2 linked regions of the Drosophila melanogaster genome follow. The protein of the gene in region 2 interacts with the protein of the main gene of each other region in a biochemical or structural test. Each region holds a gene or a part of one and is shown on either strand. Other genes may lie near its edges. The genes, in order: pbl and Rac2.

Evidence for each region.
Region 1: of the proteins of Rac2 (region 2) and pbl, one has a biochemical effect on the other in vitro, tested with the Drosophila melanogaster proteins (one study listed by BioGRID).

What each region holds. Positions count from the first base shown.
Region 1 is NT_037436.4:7,903,029-7,913,717, forward strand, and holds the start of pbl (pebble), read right to left. Parts: upstream 8,927-10,689; 5' UTR 8,431-8,926; coding exon 8,394-8,430; intron 6,311-8,393; coding exon of another isoform or gene 6,133-6,310; intron 4,311-6,132; coding exon 4,094-4,310; intron 556-4,093; exon of another isoform or gene 209-555; coding exon of another isoform or gene 168-208; intron 1-167. Other genes in the region: CG8281 (uncharacterized protein), read left to right, coding at 9,579-10,625.
Region 2 is NT_037436.4:7,428,322-7,438,688, forward strand, and holds Rac2 (Rac2), read right to left. Parts: upstream 6,870-10,367; 5' UTR 6,190-6,869; coding exon 5,611-6,189; 3' UTR 4,441-5,610; downstream 1-4,440. Other genes in the region: CG14835 (uncharacterized protein), read right to left, coding at 8,553-9,011; sphinx1, read right to left, coding at 10,253-10,254, 10,325-10,367. UniProt on the Drosophila melanogaster protein: Involved in integrin alpha-PS3/beta-nu-mediated phagocytosis of Gram-positive S.aureus by hemocytes.

The sequences.
Region 1 (10,689 bases), 480 kb from region 2:
ATTCCAAAGATTCTTATGAATGCTTAAAGCCAAAGTATTTGCATATAAAATGTTGTATCATTTAAGGTATTTCATTTATAGTGTAATAACTTTATTTATCATAGTTCTATAGAAAGTTTGCCTTAACTTTGATATCATGATGTTATCACAATAAGTTTCACACTTACAGTTTCCATCTTCCTTTTGCCGTTTTCTCCCCTGACTCCATTTCACTTGATCTTTCACTTTCTTAGACTTAGACTTTTCTCAGGTTAACTTCCTGTTGTTAGATTCACTTTCACTTTCTTCTATTTTATCGAGCCTGCTATCATATCAGTTTTCACTCGCATTTACACATTTCACCCACATTTCTGGCTGTTAGGTTCAGTTAACCTTACCAACAAAGGCAGATTTTCATTTCCATATGCTCAAATATTTGTCGCGGGCAAACGGAACGATTTTGCCTGATTCAGAGCACCATAACGAGAGTATGAATAAGTTGAGACATCTAGCCGGAGGAACCGAGCGACAAGAGTTTATGATTCTATCCGGGCAACTAAACAAACACAACTGCCAGCCTCGTTGCTTGGGAAAATTATTGAATAAACGATGGGACCGCGGCGAGCGAATGGAGAATGGAAATAGAAAATGCCTGACATGCCAGGCGGTCCACCCTCTTGGCTCCTGCCCCGCTTTTCCTCGGATTTTCCCCACTTTGCAGCTTGTTCTCTCCTCATCACTTAATGTGGCACATAAGTGGCAAATGCTATACAGGCGTGATATTTTCCTATATTTCTCTTATAAGAAAGAACTGCAAACATCACTCTCAATGCGAGAATGTGCGATCTACACAGAAAGATATTTAGATCCAATTTTGTATAAGCCTTTCGAATAAGTCTCTTTTAATTTCAGAATATAAAACAAGAATTCATGATATTTTAGCACATTTTAGCCACCATTTTGTTTCATATCCATATTCCTTCTACAAATTTACCTTATTTTTCTGTGTGTAGTAAAGAAAATAGAGGCGACCGTAAACAAAGAAATCAAGCGAGACAGGTGAAATGCAAAGAGAGTTGAGTCAACCAAATATTTAAGCAGCAGGCATCAAAGAAATGAAATTCCAAAGAACAATTCAATTTTTCGCATTGGGATCCAAGGAAAACCCAGGAAAATTCAGATGCTTAGTCAAAGCATAAAAATGCGCCGCGCGTGCTCGACACAACAATATTCATATGAGATGAATGCGATGGATGATGATCGGATTGAAGTGAATCGCGGAATATGGGGGATCTAGGGGTTTTTGGCCTCGGCAACGGATGACCTGCCATCTCTGGGTGGTAGTGGCGATTCTTTTGTAAAGTGCGCCGATCTTTGACTGAACACGGGGCACTCGAACTTTGCGAGGGTCAAAACTATAGAACAGTCAATGACATGTCGTTCGCGGGCTCTTTCTCGTGCTGTCTCAATTAAATTGCCATATCAAAACTTATAAATTATATACTCCCTCGCAGATATACAAGAAATATTTAAATATATGTATGTAAACACTCCAGAGCGCAGATCACATAAATGCCTCAATAAAAACCATAAATTCGGATCTTTTTTCGCGATTTGTGTTATATTTTTTTTTATGGTAGAGAATTTCCGTTTTTTCCCAAACACTTCTTTCAACACTTTCGACTTGATTTGACATCGCTCGATCTGAAAATACACGAATTCCTATAGATTCTTGGCGCCAAGAGATTGTCGCAATGCCTCCACCTCCTCAATTTTATTCAGATGAAACTTGGCCAATGGCACCAAAAGATTTTGCTTCCCAAGAGAAGTCCCAAAAAAAAAATATTCAAAACGATTCATTTTCAATTTCTTTAGAAGAAATACTATTTGAAATTGTCATGCCAGCGTTTTATTTGTTTTCATTTTTAAACCGATTTCATTCGCAGTTCGCTACGTCCCCAAAATAGGCAATGAATTGCTCCGAGACTTCCCCCATTATGCGAATGTATCGTTCCTATGATTCAGAATGTATATATCCCCCACTCATATCGGCCATGCTGTGGGAACACCGATTAACAAGATCTTTGTGGCATCATTTTGGGCGAGGTTAAGTGGCCGTTAAAGTGCCCCTTGGTCATTCATTTCACTTATCTGCGATTCCTGAGAAAAACTCATTAAAATTCCTCTGTTTCCCTATGATCTTTGTGTATTTTTAATCAGAACTGCATTAGTGCAACAAAAGTACTAACTCACTAGAACTAATTACAATTTAATTGTAACTTGAAAAAATAATGATAATTTCTATATATATTTTATGATCCATGACTATAAGCAGGAATAGCCTATATTCATTTTAATGAATGTTTTGGGATAAACTAAGAAAATACTTTGTCAAAACCGTGAAAAGCCTTTGATGGATTATATAAACTTTAATGCTCAATTTAAATACAGGTGCATTTAATAGTCACGATTTATTCATATCAGTTGACAAAAACAAACTCACAAAGTGCATATTTATTTAAAAAATAAACAACTAACGCTGCAAATAAACTTTCTACGTAGTTTTCCGGATGATAAACAAATTCCATATTTAATACCAGTTTATGTTTTTCTATAGGCTAAGACCAATTAAATTTATAGATGGAATACTAAAAAAAAAAAAATATATGAAACATGAAATATAATTAGCCCAGTGAAAAAAACAACTTATGCGCACCTTAGCTTTGTTTTATTTTTCGCTCATTTGGCGAGCAGAAGAAAAAAAGCGATGAAAACCAAATACAAATTGCAATAACAAAAAGAACCGAAACATGAATGAAAATCTATGAGATAAATAATAATAATTCTTAATGGGGGGAACAAAGCCACTTTTTGGCTCTTTTTTCCCTGTTTCGCATTTTCTTTGCTGTTTCCTTACAAGCAGAGCGTGTGTTGGGAAAACATGAAACGGAAAACAGACGCCCACCGACCCCCCGAATTCATAACAACTTTAACGCACTAGGTGACCTCCAAAAAAAGTGCTCGTAAATAAACGCTAACCAAAGTATGGCAAACTTATGGTTAATAACTAATGAGACAGGGCAGAGGTGGGGTCGCCAAAAAACAAATATTAAATCGAATGTGTATGATTTCGTATCAAAAAGCGTGTAGGTTATTGGAGGCTATTACTACGCAGCAGGCAAATTAATCAAGCGTGCAAAAAAATCAAGAACCCCAACCAATCCAAATAACCGGACCAAATAAAATACATATATCTATATGGAGCAAAAGAACAAACATTTGCGCAAGTTTCAAATTAGACAACAATTTGTAGAAAGCGAAAAGTGTTTGCAAGCTTATGCCGGCAAGTCGAATTAAATATATACCCTTTGTGGTCATAATGTCTATATTATATATTGATGGGAAATTCCGAAAAAATCTTTAGAAATATTGTACAAAAATCATAAGGGGACTCCAACTAAATTTTGGTTTACTATTAGAGCTTGAGGTAATCAAATAATAAACATAATTCTATATTACACAAACAAAATGGCACAGGTGTGCACATTTGCAATTGAAAATGCATTTAAGGCCATTGCTGAAAGATACTACTTCAAATGAGTTTATGGGCATCGAGCAATCGTAACTTTCTTTCCACGCAATACATACGAAAGTGTAAACAAATCGAAATGTTTTGTAGCAAACTACACTGTTTACCCAATTCAAATACCCCGAGGAAGGGTATGCAATCGGAAGGAAGCGGGCAGAGGAGCCGTGTGGTATATCTGGCGCATGGCTGACGCTGTCAATCTTGAAACTGGTGGCCAACGAGTGGATCCACATTGGGGCTCTTGGAGCGAAGATAGGTAGTATACTCGTGCGTGTGTCTCGATTTCAAACTCAATTTGCTGCGGCTCAGCATGGCGATGTGATAATGGCTCTTGACTGTTCAGGCATCTCTTCATAGCCAGAAAGAAGAGAAAAGTGGGTTGTACAGTAAGGAGAAGGATGTGGGGGCGGACAGCTGGACACATGTGACAGATTTGGTCTAAATTAAGCAGCCTTATTGTTCCTCAGCTTCTGGCCGAGTTATTATTAGTACCAGTGACTAGTTATAGGTTCTAATCGTACTCACCATTCCTTTTGCTTGTGTATCGCCTCGAAGCTGGCACCCTCGAAGTCATCCAGCACGTAGAATGTCCGCCAGTCCGACGACTCTCCGAGAATGTCCAGACCCGTGTCCGACGTAACGATGGGCAGGCCAAAGGATTCGGCTGCCTGCAGCGTGTCCGCATCCTGGCCAACGCCTCCCACCAGGCAGATGCGCGTGGGCAGCGTTGTTATGGACATCTCTGGATGGGGCGAAATGAATGGGTATAAGTCATTAAAAAATCAGAAACATGCATTGTGTGCTCTCAAAAATCAGAAATGACCAATGGCATGGGGTTAAGTGCATGTCAGGCGTAAATCAAGCAAATAAATATGCCGTTCATAGGTGTCGATCAAAAAGGGGTTTTTCCATTCAATCTTACATTATATAAAATACTCTAGACTATCACAATATAAAAACCAATGCGAAAATTTAACACACATTATTCTTAGGCCAAAATACAGTATTTTTCCGCTTATTTAAAATATTTGTGATTTATGAATGTTTCCCAACAAAATCAATTTTAACAAACTGCTAAGAAAATAAATATTTTATTGGCAGCATAATTAATTACAGTTCGATATCCGTGTGACCCTTCAACAACCCATACACTACTTTCAACTCGCTTCTGTTTACAGGCGACTGGAGAAAAGATTTTGTTTGATTAATGGCTATTTTTTGGATTTGTTTGTTTATGCAATTGAATGTGCTGTGAATAGGGGGAGGGGGGGAGGGGGTAAAAGATCGAGGGAAAACTGTGCAAAATAAAACAAAGAAATGCGAGGAAACAGAGCAGAGCGGCTAACCAAAATAGAACCCCTTGAGGATGTATAGTAAACATGTACACTACAGATCGAAGATGAAGAATGGAGGATGGCGGATGGCGGATGGCGGATGGGGGCCTGGTCAGCAGAAGCCGCAGCATTAAGCTGCCAAATTGCGAGCTGTTGACAACAATTTTAATTGTGCCGATTTCTTAGACGCCGAAATGAAGCGACCTTCGTTATTGCCATAGTTTTTGACAGGCAGCGAAAGTAGAGTATTCGAAATGAGTGAGAATGGACTTGGGGGAATGGAGAATGGGGAATGTTTTCAAGTGCAAATCATTTACCCCCAATCGACATGGACACAACCACATGGAGCAAGTGGAGACCACTGACGGCGGTCGGCTTTGTTGCATTAATTTTATCCAGAATTGTGCAGCTGTAACCGATGCCAATTGCATCTATATACACTTGTATCTATATCTGGCGAGACATTCGCCACTTGTGCAATTGAACAAAGTCCAGGAAAATGCTGAGGAAGAACTACAGTTCGTGTCGTATTCTCATCTCTGACGTCTCGGAATTTTCAAATAGATATTCCAGATATGCATTCCCAAAACAAGCGATAAACAATGCAATTTACCTAATGGAAATCGTGGCGATTTATGGACTAACAAAATGTTTATAAGGTAGGAATATCACTGGAATGTGGAATCCAATAAAAACCAGTGATACGGAATGTGCTCCATGGGAATTCAGAATTTGTAGAAGATTGATATGGGTATTAAAACGCACAAATGTCCACATCATTAAATGTGAAAAAAATTGTTTGATTTATTCAATTCGAGAGGCTTTTAGCGATGAAAAGTCATATATGCTAATTCTGCGAATAATTTTTTATATGAACAATTTCTTTAATGATGCATTCTAAGCTATTAAACGAAACATATTGTTAAGTTTAATGCGCCTTATTATTTCCACGAATTGCTTGACTGGCATTTAAATCAATATCACCTTAACATGACATCGAATGCTTTCCTCGGAAAGTAATATATTTATTTATGAAATACATAGTTATTTTTACTGTTCCTGCACCTTTCCCAGGTGTTTGTCGATGGTCTGGCTGAATGGATGGATGATTCACGAAAGACTTTACCCTACTTAAGTTTCCCTCTGGCGAATATGTTGCTCTTGCTTTTGCGCATATTCAACCCTTGGAAACGAGTACCTGAAGGGGTTTATCTGGGAATCTTGAAATACCTGTAAAATCCTCGTACACCTGACACAAGGCGGCCTGTCGAAGCTTCGCCTGTTTGACCTCCTCGTCGGCGGCATATGTGAAATAGGAGGCGGATTGTCGCTGAACCGTGACCACTTTGTTGCTCTTTTTGCCCAAATGGTTGCCAAAGTTGAACTGCACCAGCGGTAAGTGTAACATTTTGTTCGCAGATCCTCAAGGATCGGGCTCTAAAACATAACTAAATGCAAGACGAGCTCAGGCTGAGGGAACACCTGAAATCGCATTTTGCATGGCCACAGGTGGTAGCTTCTTCGGTTCAAACAAGAAGAAGAAGGTATGTAAGTGAGGTCAGGAGAAAAGGTAAACGCAAAATGGTAAGCAAAATTTCCGAGTGTGAGAAAGTGCCGAGACTCACAGGTGGCGGCCACCATTTTTCGCCATTCGGGAATTTCCTTCCTTTTTGCCCGAACAAAATCCGCTGTTGTTATTTATTTTCTACTTTTCCTCGCTGGCTGCCTGCCAGGGAAACGATGAAAAACTAATTGAGTGGCATCTGAGAAATGAAAAGCCATCGGAAGAAGAGGGCTGTGTGTGTGGGTTTCTGGGCATTCAGCCACGCAGCGAAAAATGTCCTATGCGAAATCATAGTTAACCCAAAATGACAATTTTTGATTTTTACTTAAATTCTCGTGTCTATTGCTTTTGACCTAGACCTAAAAGCATTTTTAAGTGACAATGAAATCCAAAAATAAAATATTTTATGTAAAAAAATTGTGTTTTAAACGAAAGACGTTTTGTAATTTTGGAATAATATTTAGAAAATTACTTTAAATCTCTAGAAAAAAAAACCTCAGTTTACCTGCAAGTTTAAATTATACATAAAATCAACCAATTTCTCGCTGTGTAGCGGATTTTGTCAAATAGCAGAGCAGAGTCATCAAAGAAAAATCTTGTAATAAAATTACGTACGTATCCCGCGGAAGCCTTGACGTAGGCGAAGAGCAGATTCCGAAGGTCTGCGGGCCATGTAAAATGCCATTAGCATTGAGGGACGGAAAACACGGACTACAGGCTATATAGTCATAGTTGTATGGGCATGTGCGCCCTGTCAACATGTGTAAATGGAATACGAGGTAATCGGCCAGCGGGGTAGGTAAACCACCCGGAAAGCAAGGATCAAGGATTCTGTGCAACAAGAGGAGGAAGTAGAAGGAGCGAAGAGCCTGTCGAGCAGGATAAATTCTTCTTCTTACCTGGCGGCAAGTATTAGAGCGGAGCAGACAGAATAAGTACACAAAGATATCATGTAGAGTTGATTTCAAAAGTATCTACATACATATGCACATTTAAAGGCTAAATAACATCAAAGGAGAATTGATTTTATAACCTAACCAAATTATAAACTTTTAATTGATATATGCTTTATTTGCGCCTCAAATTCGGACACAAAATACATTAAATGATAATTTTATTTGTTTATGCCGCGCGCTGGAAAAATTCCTGCCGTACAACATATTTACACGTATTTTTTAAGGCAATAACCTTTGAAATTGTGTGGTATTTGCAGTTACACGTTCTCGTTGCGGAAATCGTAGGCTTATGGAAAGTATAACAATTTTAATTGCCTAGAAACAATTTTGTTTTTAGTTAAATAAAAATGTTAAAAATATAATAAAAACTTTATAGCAGAGATTTCTCTTTCCCATCAATACCTAAATCTATCTTTTGTTAATTGTTTACTTTTTTAAGATTCGATAGTTTCTTGTTTACTTTCTTTTATAGCTACAACTCCATGGCTAAAAACGGCTGAATTCGCATCAATGATAACAGGAACTGATCGCTTAAATTGTTGTTGCTTGTCCTTTCTTTTTACTCTCACAACAGTTAGGGCGCCTCAGTTGTTGTTGTTGTTCTTGCTGTCGGTACAGTGTCGCCGAAGAGAGGGAGAGTGAGGGGAAACGATGATGAAGAGAGGGAGGCATTTCGCATTTATGCGATAAATATTTTCTACACCGAAATAAATTCAGAAAAAAAGATTAAAATATCTGCGACACGATGCCGTTGCTTTTTTAGTCACACAAATACACACAAAGATGTACTTATAGTCGTTGTTATTTCATTTTATTTTTTTGCATTTGCTGGCAGCGACATTTTTTATGAGGATCTTTTGGCCCCGAATGTGGTTTTACCCCGTACCCAACCCCTTTGGGCGACATTGAAAAATGATAAATTCGCCGGCCATTTGGAGCTGCCACGCCCCGCGCCCTCTTTCAGTACTCACCGCACTTCGATTGCTCTTCAATGGTCTCCATTTCCATGGATCTTCTGCAGTTACTTTTTTAAGGCGAACAACTCGTGGAACATACACAAAAACACACACCAACAGAACTCGAAACACAATAGAACGAACGCACAAGGAGACAAATAATTCGTTTGTACTCGATTCGTTTACTTTCATTAACTGGACGCTGTTTTCATGCATTTAGCGCGCATCATTTCCATGTTTGTTTGTTTTTCTACTTTTTGTTACAATTTATTTATTATTTAATTAAAAAGCGGCGGCTCACGAAAACACACACACACAGACGCGCATAGGCAGCGTCGCCCGGTTCTTCGTCCTCTTGTTAGCGATACCGCGTACCTGCTTTAGCAATTTAACCAACAAAATGATCAACAATGTAAGCGAATTGCGCTCAACGGCTGCGCGTCGGAATCACAAATCAAAACTCAACGGACAAACGCGTCTGTTTCGAATTTTTTTCGCTGTAGTGTGCCGCGCAGTGTAACCGTCGCGGGGGCGCCAAGAAATACGCGCAAATGTGATGAACGAAATACCAGAATCAATCGGCGCTAAATAATGGTCACACTTGCAAGGGGTTGAAGGTATTCCCTGTAATGCTATATAACTAAATTAAACGACTATGGCTATAAAATAGTTGTAAGCTGCACTATATTAACAATCAATTAGAACTGTTTTCTTCGTTTAAGTTGTTTTTGGCCTGTCGATAAATTAAATTTGGTAATATCCTACTATTGTTGCAGTTGTAGCCTCCAATCATATTTTTCATGCAAGCTATATAAGCTACAGTTAATTTTATGTATGCTTGCTCATATATTTAATAAATGAATGCCTAAAACTACTTGCTTTTGTGCTACTTTGTTTAAATATACGCGCTTGATAACAACGAGTTGACCGATAAATACTGCTGGCGAAGTATCGATACCAGTGACAAGCATTGCCACTACGTCCGCACTTGTTGCTGTATCTTCACGCTCACGCACACTCGCACACAACCATTACGTCAATATGGCAAACAATCTGTCAAACGCGCAATTACAACAAACACAGTTCGTTCGCATTGACAGTTGGTCAATAGGTCCATCCAGGATTCGCTGAAGTGGTGAAGATAGCCAAGGACTGCAGCTGGCGTGGATTGGCAGAGGGTAATCCAGAGATCCGCGCAAAATGCTGCCACAAACGCCGCCGCACGGATTGAAGGTGATGTCGGGAGCGGAGGAGAACCGACACTATCTGCGCGCCTTCATCCAGACATACAGGGATCTGCCCGTGCTGTGGGACACATCGCTGCGGGACTACACCAATCGGGAGAAGCGGGCGGAGGCCTATTTGCGCCTGGTGCCCATATACCATTATCTCAAGCGGGACGCCACCGTGGAGGATGTGAAAAAGAAGATCAACACACTGCGCACGAACTACCGCAAGGAGCTGAAGGTGGTGGAGAGTGCCCTGCGATCGGGCAGCCTCCACAGTCCACGCTGCTGGACCTTTCAGGAGCTGGACTTTCTGCGCAACTCGGAGAAGTTTCTAGCCGTCAATCCCGCCTTTAAGAACGAGCCCAACTTCGCCTTCGGTGAGAGCAGCAATTGCCCGAGTGCGTTTCTGGAGAGCCAGGGAGCAGCCCTCCATTATCCAGCACCACGCGCTGGTGGTCAGACGCCCAACATTTCCGAGATGTTTCACAAATCATTTGGAGCTCCGCCACCGCCACCGCCAGCAACCAACCATGTGGATTATGGGAGCAGCAAGCGAGCCAGGCAAACGCCGCCATGTACGGGAGCAGGAGCCGGATCTACTGGCGGTCCTGGGGCAACAGGCACCGCCCACAACACCGACGAACTACTCAACATAGCCTGCGAGTATTTGGCTGGCACATATCCGGAGGAGGAGTCCATCGCCCGCACCTGGACGCACAAACTGAAGCGACTGCCGCGCGAGCAGCGTCTTCTGGCCGAACGTTTCATCAACGAGATTCTCTTCGAGGCCGAGTCCAACAATCTGCATCGCGGATCTGTGCAAATCAACAACAGCTTCGAACCCTACGTTCGCTACGAAGAAACGCCAAATGGTCACGAGGAGCAGGACAAATCACAGAGCCCCAGTGTGCACACCTCCAGCGAATCCAAGCCCAATGTGTCGGGAGCGAGCGGAAGCGGGGGAGGAGGTGGGCCACCGGGCAGCACCACCACCAGTGCGGGCATCAGGGAGTTCTAACTTTAGTTTAGTTACTAAGTGTTAAGTTTTTATTGGCCGAGGGATAAATGGCAAATGCGATCAA
Region 2 (10,367 bases):
AACTTTTGGGGGCAAGAAGCATTTTTGAATAATTTCAACACTTAGCGGTTTTAGGGTGACAAATAGATACGTATGTGTATCTTATTAAGACTAATGTTTTTGGTTACGAGTCCGAAGTTTAAGTATAAACTACTTAACTCTTTAAGTAAATTTCCGGCCAAAGTAATTTGGTTTCTTTGCAGCATGTTAATAATTGCATCACTAAATCTTAGAATCCCCTTGCTACTAATTTCCTCTTTCCATAAATTCCTAAAGTTTCCGTCATTACTTAAGCCCTTCAAGCATTTTTGCGAACTCACAGCAATCCAAAGTCCAATGGGATGCGTAAATCCTTCGCTGGATTTCACCCATGCCGGAATAAAATTTATAAGAATTCCGCTGGCCAGTCGAGCGTATCCGCTTCAATTTAAACAATTAATGTCAATCTGCGCCGAGGGTGAATAATTTTTCTCCGCTCTAGAAACGTTCTTGGCGAGGAAAATATATTAAAAAGTAAGTTCATTTGATTTCATTAGATTCGATCCCACAGAGAATTCTATCTATTTACCTAAAAAGCCTTATATGCAAATGTAAATACTAAGCACACCATGACGGTGTGTGTTTTGTTTACATATATTGTAGATATATACATAAATTTTTCAAAAGCCAAACACACAAATACGAAAATCTTTGAACTGTATAGCTGAGGGTGGTGGTCAAAAATAGAGTGTAGCAAAAGATTCAGATACTTTTGAGCACTACCTGTGGCGCAACTAAGTGACACCTATTTTGGGATTTTAGTTGTGCCTTGTGTTCATTATTAACTGAAAGCTGACAGTTGGACATGTAATTGTGTTTAATTGAAAATGAAAAGCCTCACATAGAATCATACTCAAATTCAGAATGCACACCTGAAATCTTAAACACACACGCACGTACGTTTGGTCGATTTGAATGTCAGACTGGCAAGTTTTCAGCTTTTCAGCATCGCCCGTCGTCTGGCGGAAATTTCAACGTGTTCGGGATGTCAACATTTCCCTTACACTTTCCCCCGCCCGATCACCATTTTCCGTCCATGCAAATGTGGAAAATGCAACAAGTTGCCAGCCAGCCAACAAAATGGCGGAAACGTGTTGCTGTCTGACTGGCGTCGACTGGAAAATCAAAGCTCCACCGCCTGCATCCATGAATTATGGAATGCATATTTAAACGCAACTTTAAACTTTTTTATTGCACCGAGAAGGAGGAGCGATCCGAGGTGGGGAGGCATCCTAATTGTGCAAAACTTTCGCACACGCTTCATATCCTGGCAGCCGGTCCACATCCACGTCCGCGTCCCACGTCGCTGTTCATTGACTTTGGCAGCGTACAAGGATGCAGGACACACAGTGTGACTTTGTTTTTAATACACTCGACTCGACTCGCCTCAACTCCAGCTGCATCGATCGACGGGACAAACAAGGCTCGTCGCCTGTCTGGTCCTGCCGCAGTTCATTACTCCGCAGGACGATAATCCTGGCCCATCTTTTACACAATCAAAAATATTGAGATGCTCGATCTTTGATTTCCACAATAGGAACGCACAACTTTCTTAGTACGTTTTGTATCAAAACTTGCAAATTCTTCTTAAAAATTTCAATGTATGTATATACAATTTTTTAAACCATAAGCTAAAGTAATGTGAAGTACTAAAATTTTGTTGACTGCATCCTTTGCCGGCACGCTGTTGTCCTGTGACTCCTTGCTTTTTTGTTAGCCGCTGTCGATGCTTTACGTTGCCATGCTGGCCATGACAAAGATTATCAATAACAAGTCCGAGGCAGATACCCACATGCGTAATCCTTGCAACGGATATTGGCTACGCCACTAGATGGCTTCGCTCCTTTCGCCACAGCCCATTGAATGTCCTGCGTGTCCTGCCTGTTGGCCATCCATATCAATTGCGTCCTCAAGCTTTTGTTTGCTCACAGCAAGCATCGCGTTTTATTCCGCTTAAATATTCAGCATCTTAATGTGAAATTTGAAAATGTTGTAATTTCGAGTTAACTTGGGAAAAGCTGGAAACTATTGTTTTTCATTATTTCAACGTTTATTGATCTGTATTGAAGTCGTTTCCAGTTTGAGTAAAATCGATTTGTCCTATATTTTTTTGTTTTTCCATGAGCAGCCAAAACCAATAGCAGCATCACAGCGCACAAATGAATTTATTTTTTTTTAGTTGGCTGTTTTGGAAAACTCAACATTTCCGCCCATTCTCCGTTCGCATCATAATTTGCAATGTGTTTTCTGGCAGGAAGTTGCCGCTGAAAATATGCTGAGAAAATAGCTGGGTGGTTTGGGCGGGGATGTGAAAAGGTGTCCGAGCTTGTCATATCCTGTTGGCAGAGGATCAGGTGCAAGCATTTTCCACACCGGAAGTGTGAAATATTTTGACCTCCCCCAGCGCCAAGCTCACCTGAATTTACCTTCATCTTATGTGGCATGGAATTTTTACGCTGGAGCGTATTTTATTGGCATTTTGTACGAAATTTGTGGCCAGCAAGGAATTCTTTCGGAAATTTTCATATTAAATTTTTCCACTTTTCCCAACGGCCACGAATTCGCTGGAAATCTCTCAATTAAGCTGAAAATCGCCACGATTCCATGTTGCTCACCGAGCGTATAATTGATTTAGCCAAATTGTTAACCGCTTGAAAACGGACAAATTGCGCAAGCCTCTTTTGCAAAACCTGGCCCTGGAAAATCAGGACCAAATGGAGCTGTAAGTCCGCCGGGGAAGCTTTTAATTTCACGCATGCAGTGCATAAATTTGCCATTTCCATTTGCATTTACATTTGGCATGGGGCATGATTATGCGACACTTGTCAATGGATTTGCATCGCACAGCAGTTGTCCACTTAGCGGTATTGGCCATTCTGCAGTTTTCCCACTTCGATTTGATGGGAGGGGGATGGGGTGATAATCAAGGAATAATACCGTTCACATTCTAAAATTTGGACTGTGGTTGGTAAATGGAAAATTAAAGGGAAAATCAAGCCAATTTTATTATATGCCTTTTATTTATGAGAGCATTGGAATGCTGCTGTTTACAGGTGAGAAATAAATTTCACATTGGAAAAAGCACAGTCATTTGCATTTTAGAGGAATTTTATAAACTAACTATACAGACTTTTTTGTATGAAATGTTTTTTAAAGACGTAGGAAAATTTGGAAATTAATTGAAGCCAGCATGAAGCACAAAGAAACCTATACATTTAAAACTGTTATTTGTATAACTTGCAAACACGTGGATCTCGTTTATGAAATTGATTATAAATGAATTTGGTATTGTTCTGTTACAAAGTATCTGCATGCAATGTAGTAGGGCAATTGTATCTGAACATGCCGAACATTCCACGCCTGTCAACGCGTCTTCACTCAGCGGCTTCTTCAGCGGTGCATTCTAGAGCCAAAAGTGCAAATTCTAAAGGTGCAGCCAAATTCTAGATGCTAGCCAAATGTTTTTGCTAATTAAATTGACTTCGTTGGTCTCCCTATCCTTTACGGCCTCTCTCTGTTTTGATTGCTGCCTGGTGCCGCGGTGTTTGTTCAAAATGTGGGTCAATTATGCGATTCGTCGCGTCACAGACAAAACCACACGATGGGTTGGTGATGGTGGTGTGGCAAAAACATCCATCAGTGGCCATTGAAATGTGCGGGAGGATGGGCACAATTCGCACAGCAGGTTGTCTTATGTAATTATTTGTCAAATTCACACACTGAGCAGCGGCAGTGTGGGGCCATGCCCACATCCGCTAACGAGCCGCAGACACACGGTGACCGCAAAGCCATCGAAAACCACCCACCCAAAACACCCAAATCACCCAAACCAGCCCCTCATCATACTCGTATCCGCGGGCAATCAATCAACAGCTGGCTCATTATGACAATCGAAGTATTCTATAGATATAGATAGAATTGAAAGAAAGCGGAGCATAAAGACATAAATAAATATGATGTAGCCATTATAGTATATAGGCATATGTATGTATGTATGTATGATAGGACTGAAACTGGCAAATTGCTTAGTCAACCGGTCCGGGGATCAGAACTTCCGGCGTGTCCGGCAATCGGAAATAATTATCTAAAATTTGTGACAAATGCGGGTGCAGATAAGATTAAAGTTGCCAGGCGTGTGCAATTTTCCCCACTAGCCGAAAAGTATGCAGCAGTTCAGGGGTCAAGCACCATTGCATTGCCAACTATGAAAACCTTTAAATATACCCACATTACTTCCATAATAGACATAAATCTGAATTGCACTTTGCTCCCAACATAATTCATCCGACTATTTAGTTTTGTACAAACGTTTATTTTGGTTGATTAATATTACACTCTTTATTGATAAATTATGTGTTAATATAAATAAAGTGTTTCCTTTTTTTTTAATTTACCGCTCGCTCTCTTTCGTTAAAACAAATTGGCAAAATGTATGCATTTATTTAACATAAATATCAGTATATAAATTAACATCAAAGTAGAGGCTAATTGTGCATTTAGTATACATTAAATCAAGTCCAGGCAAATGCGTTGAGCGGGAAGACCATTGATCAGACACACACACACACATTCACACGTAACTCTAAATACTATATGTATAAATGAAAGTTCTTTTTTTGTCGGCTTCCCACATTCCCCGATTGTTCAGATATTGGCCATAGGCGGGGCCTTTCCTGGGGTTTTTCTTCCACACCCAGATAACGGCTATCTGGTACTGGTTATAGTGACTGCGTTTGGGGCGCTAAAGGCTATAAATCGTCTAGATTTATTTACAATTAATTTTATTTGATTTGTCATACGTTTCTCAGGCCGAATTTCATTTGCAAAGTTCTAATTTCTGCTGTTTAATATAATGCACTTGCGTTTTAAGGCAATTTATGGATTACTATTTGCGAAAATCAAAATTTCTTTTTTTGCAATTAACATTATATAAAAAATGTTTTTTTAATTAGTCGAAATCATTTTTAAAATGTTAATTCTTGTATGTCATAAGCGCAAAAGTATGAGTTGTACTTAATCTAAATTCTAAAACAAGTTAGTCATTAAAAATACTACGAAACAATAACTCAGAACAGAAAAATTTAAACATGTTATCTAGAGCAATATAGAAATTAATTTGAGCAATATTACATCAAATATCTCAAGTTTTAGAAGTTCTTCCACATTTATTTTACTGTGTACGCACAATATCATACTTATATGCTTATGTGTATATCTTTCTATCCGTGATCTGCCCCCCAGAGACCCCTGGCCCCGCCCCCACCCTGTGTAGCCCCCTTGCTGATAGCTGTGTTGTTGTTTTTGTGGCTGCTGCTCCCCCACATAAAGCTGACAATAAAAACAAAACTACGCTCACTCATTCACACACTCATGCCGTCACACTCGCAACCCAGAGACGCGCTCACACTTGCACTCACATCACACACACACACAATACACACACTCACACACTATCTGCTGTAACTAAAGACCCAACAAAGCGAATATGAATATTTTGCACAGAATTTTGCGCTTTGTTCTCTTCTCTTCTCGTTTTTTTTTTTGTTTTTGTTGAAGTTCTTCGCGTTTTTGTTTTGGGTGGGTTCAAAGTTCTTAGAGCAGGGCGCACTTGTGCCGCTTGGGTCCTCGAACGACAGGACATAGCACGGATCGTATGGCCTCGTCGAAGACCGTCTTCAGACCCTTTTGGGTCAGGGCCGAGCACTCCAGATACTTGACCGCAGCTATTTCCTTGGCCATCGCCAGTCCTTGGGGATAGGTGATCGGTGTTAGCTTCTTGTCCTTCAGCTTCTCGATCGTCTGCTTATCGTCGCGCAGATCCAGTTTGGTGCCGACCAGGATTATCGGCACACTCGGGCAATGATGACGCACCTCGGGAAACCATTTGGCTCGCACATTCTCAAACGATGCCGGATTCACCAGTGAGAAACAGATGAGAAAGACATCCGTTTGCGGATAGGATAGCGGCCTCAGGCGATCGTAGTCCTCCTGTCCAGCCGTATCCCAGAGGCCCAGATTGATGGGCTTGGCATCCACCATCACATTCGCCGAATAGTTGTCGAACACCGTGGGTATGTACTCGCCGGGGAAGGCGTTGGTCGTATAGCTGATCAGCAGACAGGTCTTTCCCACCGCTCCGTCGCCCACAACCACACACTTGATGGCCTGCATGATGAAGGCTACTGTACTGGTGGTACTACTGGGCAATCGATGGGTTCAGCAGCTCGATGGGTTGCTTGTGCGCTGGGGGCAGAGGGTTTTTCAGTGGATCAGCTGGTTTCGTGCTCGATTTCCAGTGGCTCAACTGGTTTTCTTTGTGGCAGCTTAACTTATAATTACTTTGGGGTAATTCATTCAATTCAGTAGGTCAGACAGTTTTTGAATGCTTCGATATTTGTACTTTTGAACTATTTTGTACTTTTCTTTTTTCTGTTCAACAGACAAATTTTAGTCACACAATTTAGTTTTGCCTTGTATCGCAGCTCAGCTAGTTTTTCTAATTGTATAGCTTTTGCTTTTCGCGTTGGCGTTTTGCTTTTATTGTTTTTTTTTTTTGGCGATTATACAATAATTTGCTCACGCACTAATACAAATTCTGCCCACACACACACACACATTCAAGCAATCGCGTACAGAGAGAGATGCGAATTTGAAGTGGAGTTTGATTTATCGCGAAAGTTGTCAAATCAATATTCTTAATTGAAAGCAGAACCGTGACGGCGTTCTTTCTGTTCGGTCGGTATATTATTTATGAATTAATTGGGCCCGCATATGTGGGGATTTGCTGATTTTCTGTGGCAGAAACGGAAAAAACACGCCCAAACGCTGTGAAATCTTCGCGGCGATTGAAGAAAATTTCTGCCTCCGCTGGCAGTTGTTGTACTTGTTTTTTCACTGTAGTTTTCGCTCTTTCAACTGGCTTGTACGGCTGTCTCGCTCGTTCGCGTGCGTTAGTCGCTTAAACGAAGCGCTGCGCGCATACGCTCTCCCACACAAAGAGCGAGCGAGCGAACGTGAGCGAGAGCGGCACTGGCACAGTGCAGTCCCATAAAATTAGTCACAGTGAGTCATTCGCTCGGTGACGTTAGTCGTGGCAATCCACAGAGAGCAGAGCGAGACAGAGATAGTGAGTCTCTTTACTTGACCTTGCTTTGGTCGTTTTTGTAGAGTTTTCTATATTCGTTCGACGGTTTTCCACGAATTTCCCGACCGTTGCTGTTGTTTTGAGCCAATTTCCACGCGACTAGAGGCTATCAGAGATGTGCGGTACCCAACTCAGGTACAAATCGCCCGTAGCTTATCGCGGTACAATTACAGTGCCACACCAAAAACAAGCAAAACGTTGATATCGCGCGATATAAATATTAATTGAACAATATTTTTTTTATTGATGAATCAATTATGTGACCTAAATATGTGTCACAGTCTTTGGATGAATATACTTAAATGGAAGTATTCATATTTTAAAATTGGAAACTCAAATTTAGATTCTGGAATTACTTTTAATTCTCCTTAATTCGGGCCATATTAATTTACGACCGTTACATCCCATCTAATTCTTAAACGAATTATTAAATTTTTCATGACCAGCGATATTTGCTGCCGTTGACTGTTTTAATGGACCACAAAATTGCGTGTGTCGGCAAAAACCAAAGCCCAAGGAATAACAAACAAATAACATTGGCAAACAGTGCAAAATATCGACAGTAAAAACCGAAAAGCAAAAACAGAACCCAAACCGAATCCACCGAATCCGCCGCATCCGCATTCAGCCAAAAGTGATAGCCGAAATATTTCGTGTTTGTGTTTTGGCTTCCGCCCCACCAACCAGAAGCCCAAAACATCCCCCCCCCCCGTCCTCCACATGCCACGCCCATTTTCGCATTGATTTTAAAATGGAAATGTTTAAAGTGCCGTCGGCGAATATTTTCGCATTTAAGTTAATTTCTCGCACTGCTGATGGTGCTGCTGTAATTGGATAATTAAATAGGCGCCACAAAATTTGTTCTCCAGCAATCCGAACAACAAGCACGAATATATGAATTTCAATAATATGCATTTTCAAAAAGTTTTTAATGGAATTTACTGTAAAAAATCCGCAACAATTAAATCGCCAATGAAGTCCGTTCAAGTGGAATAAATGTTTCTGTTTCCGTTTGTGCGTGGATGAATCATTCGATTTCGTATTCGATTTCAAGTGGGCGGGTGGGCGTCGCAAGGTTATCAGCGGGTCAGGGCGTGAAACAAAAACAACACTTTTTCGAATTAATTTTCAAATTACAGCGTAATTTAATAGATTAACCAATCGAAAGCTTTTGGCTAAAACAATGGTGTTAAATTAAGTTGAAAAGCGATAAGCGCAACAAATAATGCAGTTATCAAATTACCTTTCAGCAAAGTTATTTACTTAAACCATAACATTTTGAAACCCAAATGAGCCTTTAAGCTCCCAGAAAAAAAAAACATTTGATTGCAGTGTACCTATATTTTCCATTGCTAGCATATCCGGTGGTCAAAAGGGTTCATCAAGGTTTTTAAAGAGGCGGGTTTTCCCAGTGAAATTGGGATGTATACCTGGTACACCTGGTACTTCCAATCCCTGGACTTCGCTTCCGGCTCGTTGCACCCATCTTCTGCTGCCGCTTCTTCCTATGCGTCTTGGCATTTCCACGACAGATTCTACGCTTACTTGACTGAACATCAGAGCGCGTCCTTTGCACTGTGACCTGCTGAGGCGACAGGACATTGACGGTTAACCTCATTGCCGACTCGATGGATGGTCCGAATTGGGCCATCAAATAGGGGACTTCCTCGAACAAGGACTGCTCCTGGTCACTGAGTGCGTGCCAAGCGTTGCGGGCTTCCTTAACCAGTGTGACAGCTGGTATATTCTTACAATCGCAGCCTAGGCGGTATTCCCGCAGAAAGTTGTACGGGGCACATTTGCTGATGAACACTGGCGACTTGGAGCCAATGCTATAGCTGTAGTCCATCGGAATGCCGGGAATGGAGGCGAATTTTATGCGGCACGGGCGAGATGATCAGGAAACTCAATAATTTTGGTAAAGTCGTGGCACTGGGAAATGTGTTTTATCAAATATTTAACATCACATCTACGAATCGGTGTATTTCGAAATACAAGCGCTGCTGACATATACGAAAACAAATTTCGGATTACTTGTTTCGTTTCGAAATCGATTAGGTACATATATGTGAATTTTTTATTACCAGAAGTTAACTAACAATTTGCTGCTCTGCATAGTAAACAATTGCAATTGAAATGCCGCACTGAACCGCTTTGCATTAATCGAGTAATCTTTGGCATATTCAGGACTTTATCCGCATATCCTTATTACGACGTGTCCATTGCGGAGTGAAAAACTGTGCAAATAATTAAAGCCAAAGTGCGATACGTATGACAGTGAGTGCAACAATTATTTGATTACTGTCGCCGGGACTGCCAGTTCCCAGTTCAGTTCCCTTTGCCACGTAATTGGCGGAGTGATATATGCACATATACATATATATACATTTATATGAATATATATCCCAACCCCCGGTAATCGATGCAGGAATTTCATGGGAACAGCTTGCTGGCCATTATGCAGCGAGTTATTCATAATTGTTGTTGCTGCCCAAGTGGCAGGAAAATGCATAACAAACTGAAAAATATTCAAGCCATTTTTATTGCCACACCAGACGAACCGCACACTACATATACAGATATACATATATATACACACACATATATATATATATATATATATATATATATATGGCGATAATGAATGAATGTGCGCTAAAGAACCGCAGCCTGAACAGAAAAGAGCGAAATAAAGCAAATAGTGCAACTTCAACTGTAACAGGGCTACAATAACAATAAATTTAACACTTTAACGATTGTGTTATATATAATATCCCCAAATTGCAATACAAACCAAATTATTTTAGTTTAATAAGTTTAAATACGGCAGTAGACTTTTAGGAGTCCTGTATTTTGGGTGTGCTAATCCCAAGCTGTAAAATATTTGATACTGTGTACTCAAATAACTAACAGAGTTAAGATAAGAAACTGCATTTTGCAGAATATTTACAATAATTTTTATTAATATTTTTTAAAAACATGACATGACATGACATGCTTTGTTTCCAGAAAAACTTTGTTTTTTGTATTTTTGTTTGATTTATTTTTCTGTTTATTTTATGGGCAGCATTATTAAAACGTACATCCTTGTTCTGCAATGAATCAATTTAGCCATTCACCTTTATTAGTAAAAAAAAAATAGTTCATATTTGGAATACTCACAGAATCCCACTCCGGATACACGCTTTATCCACTTTATATGATC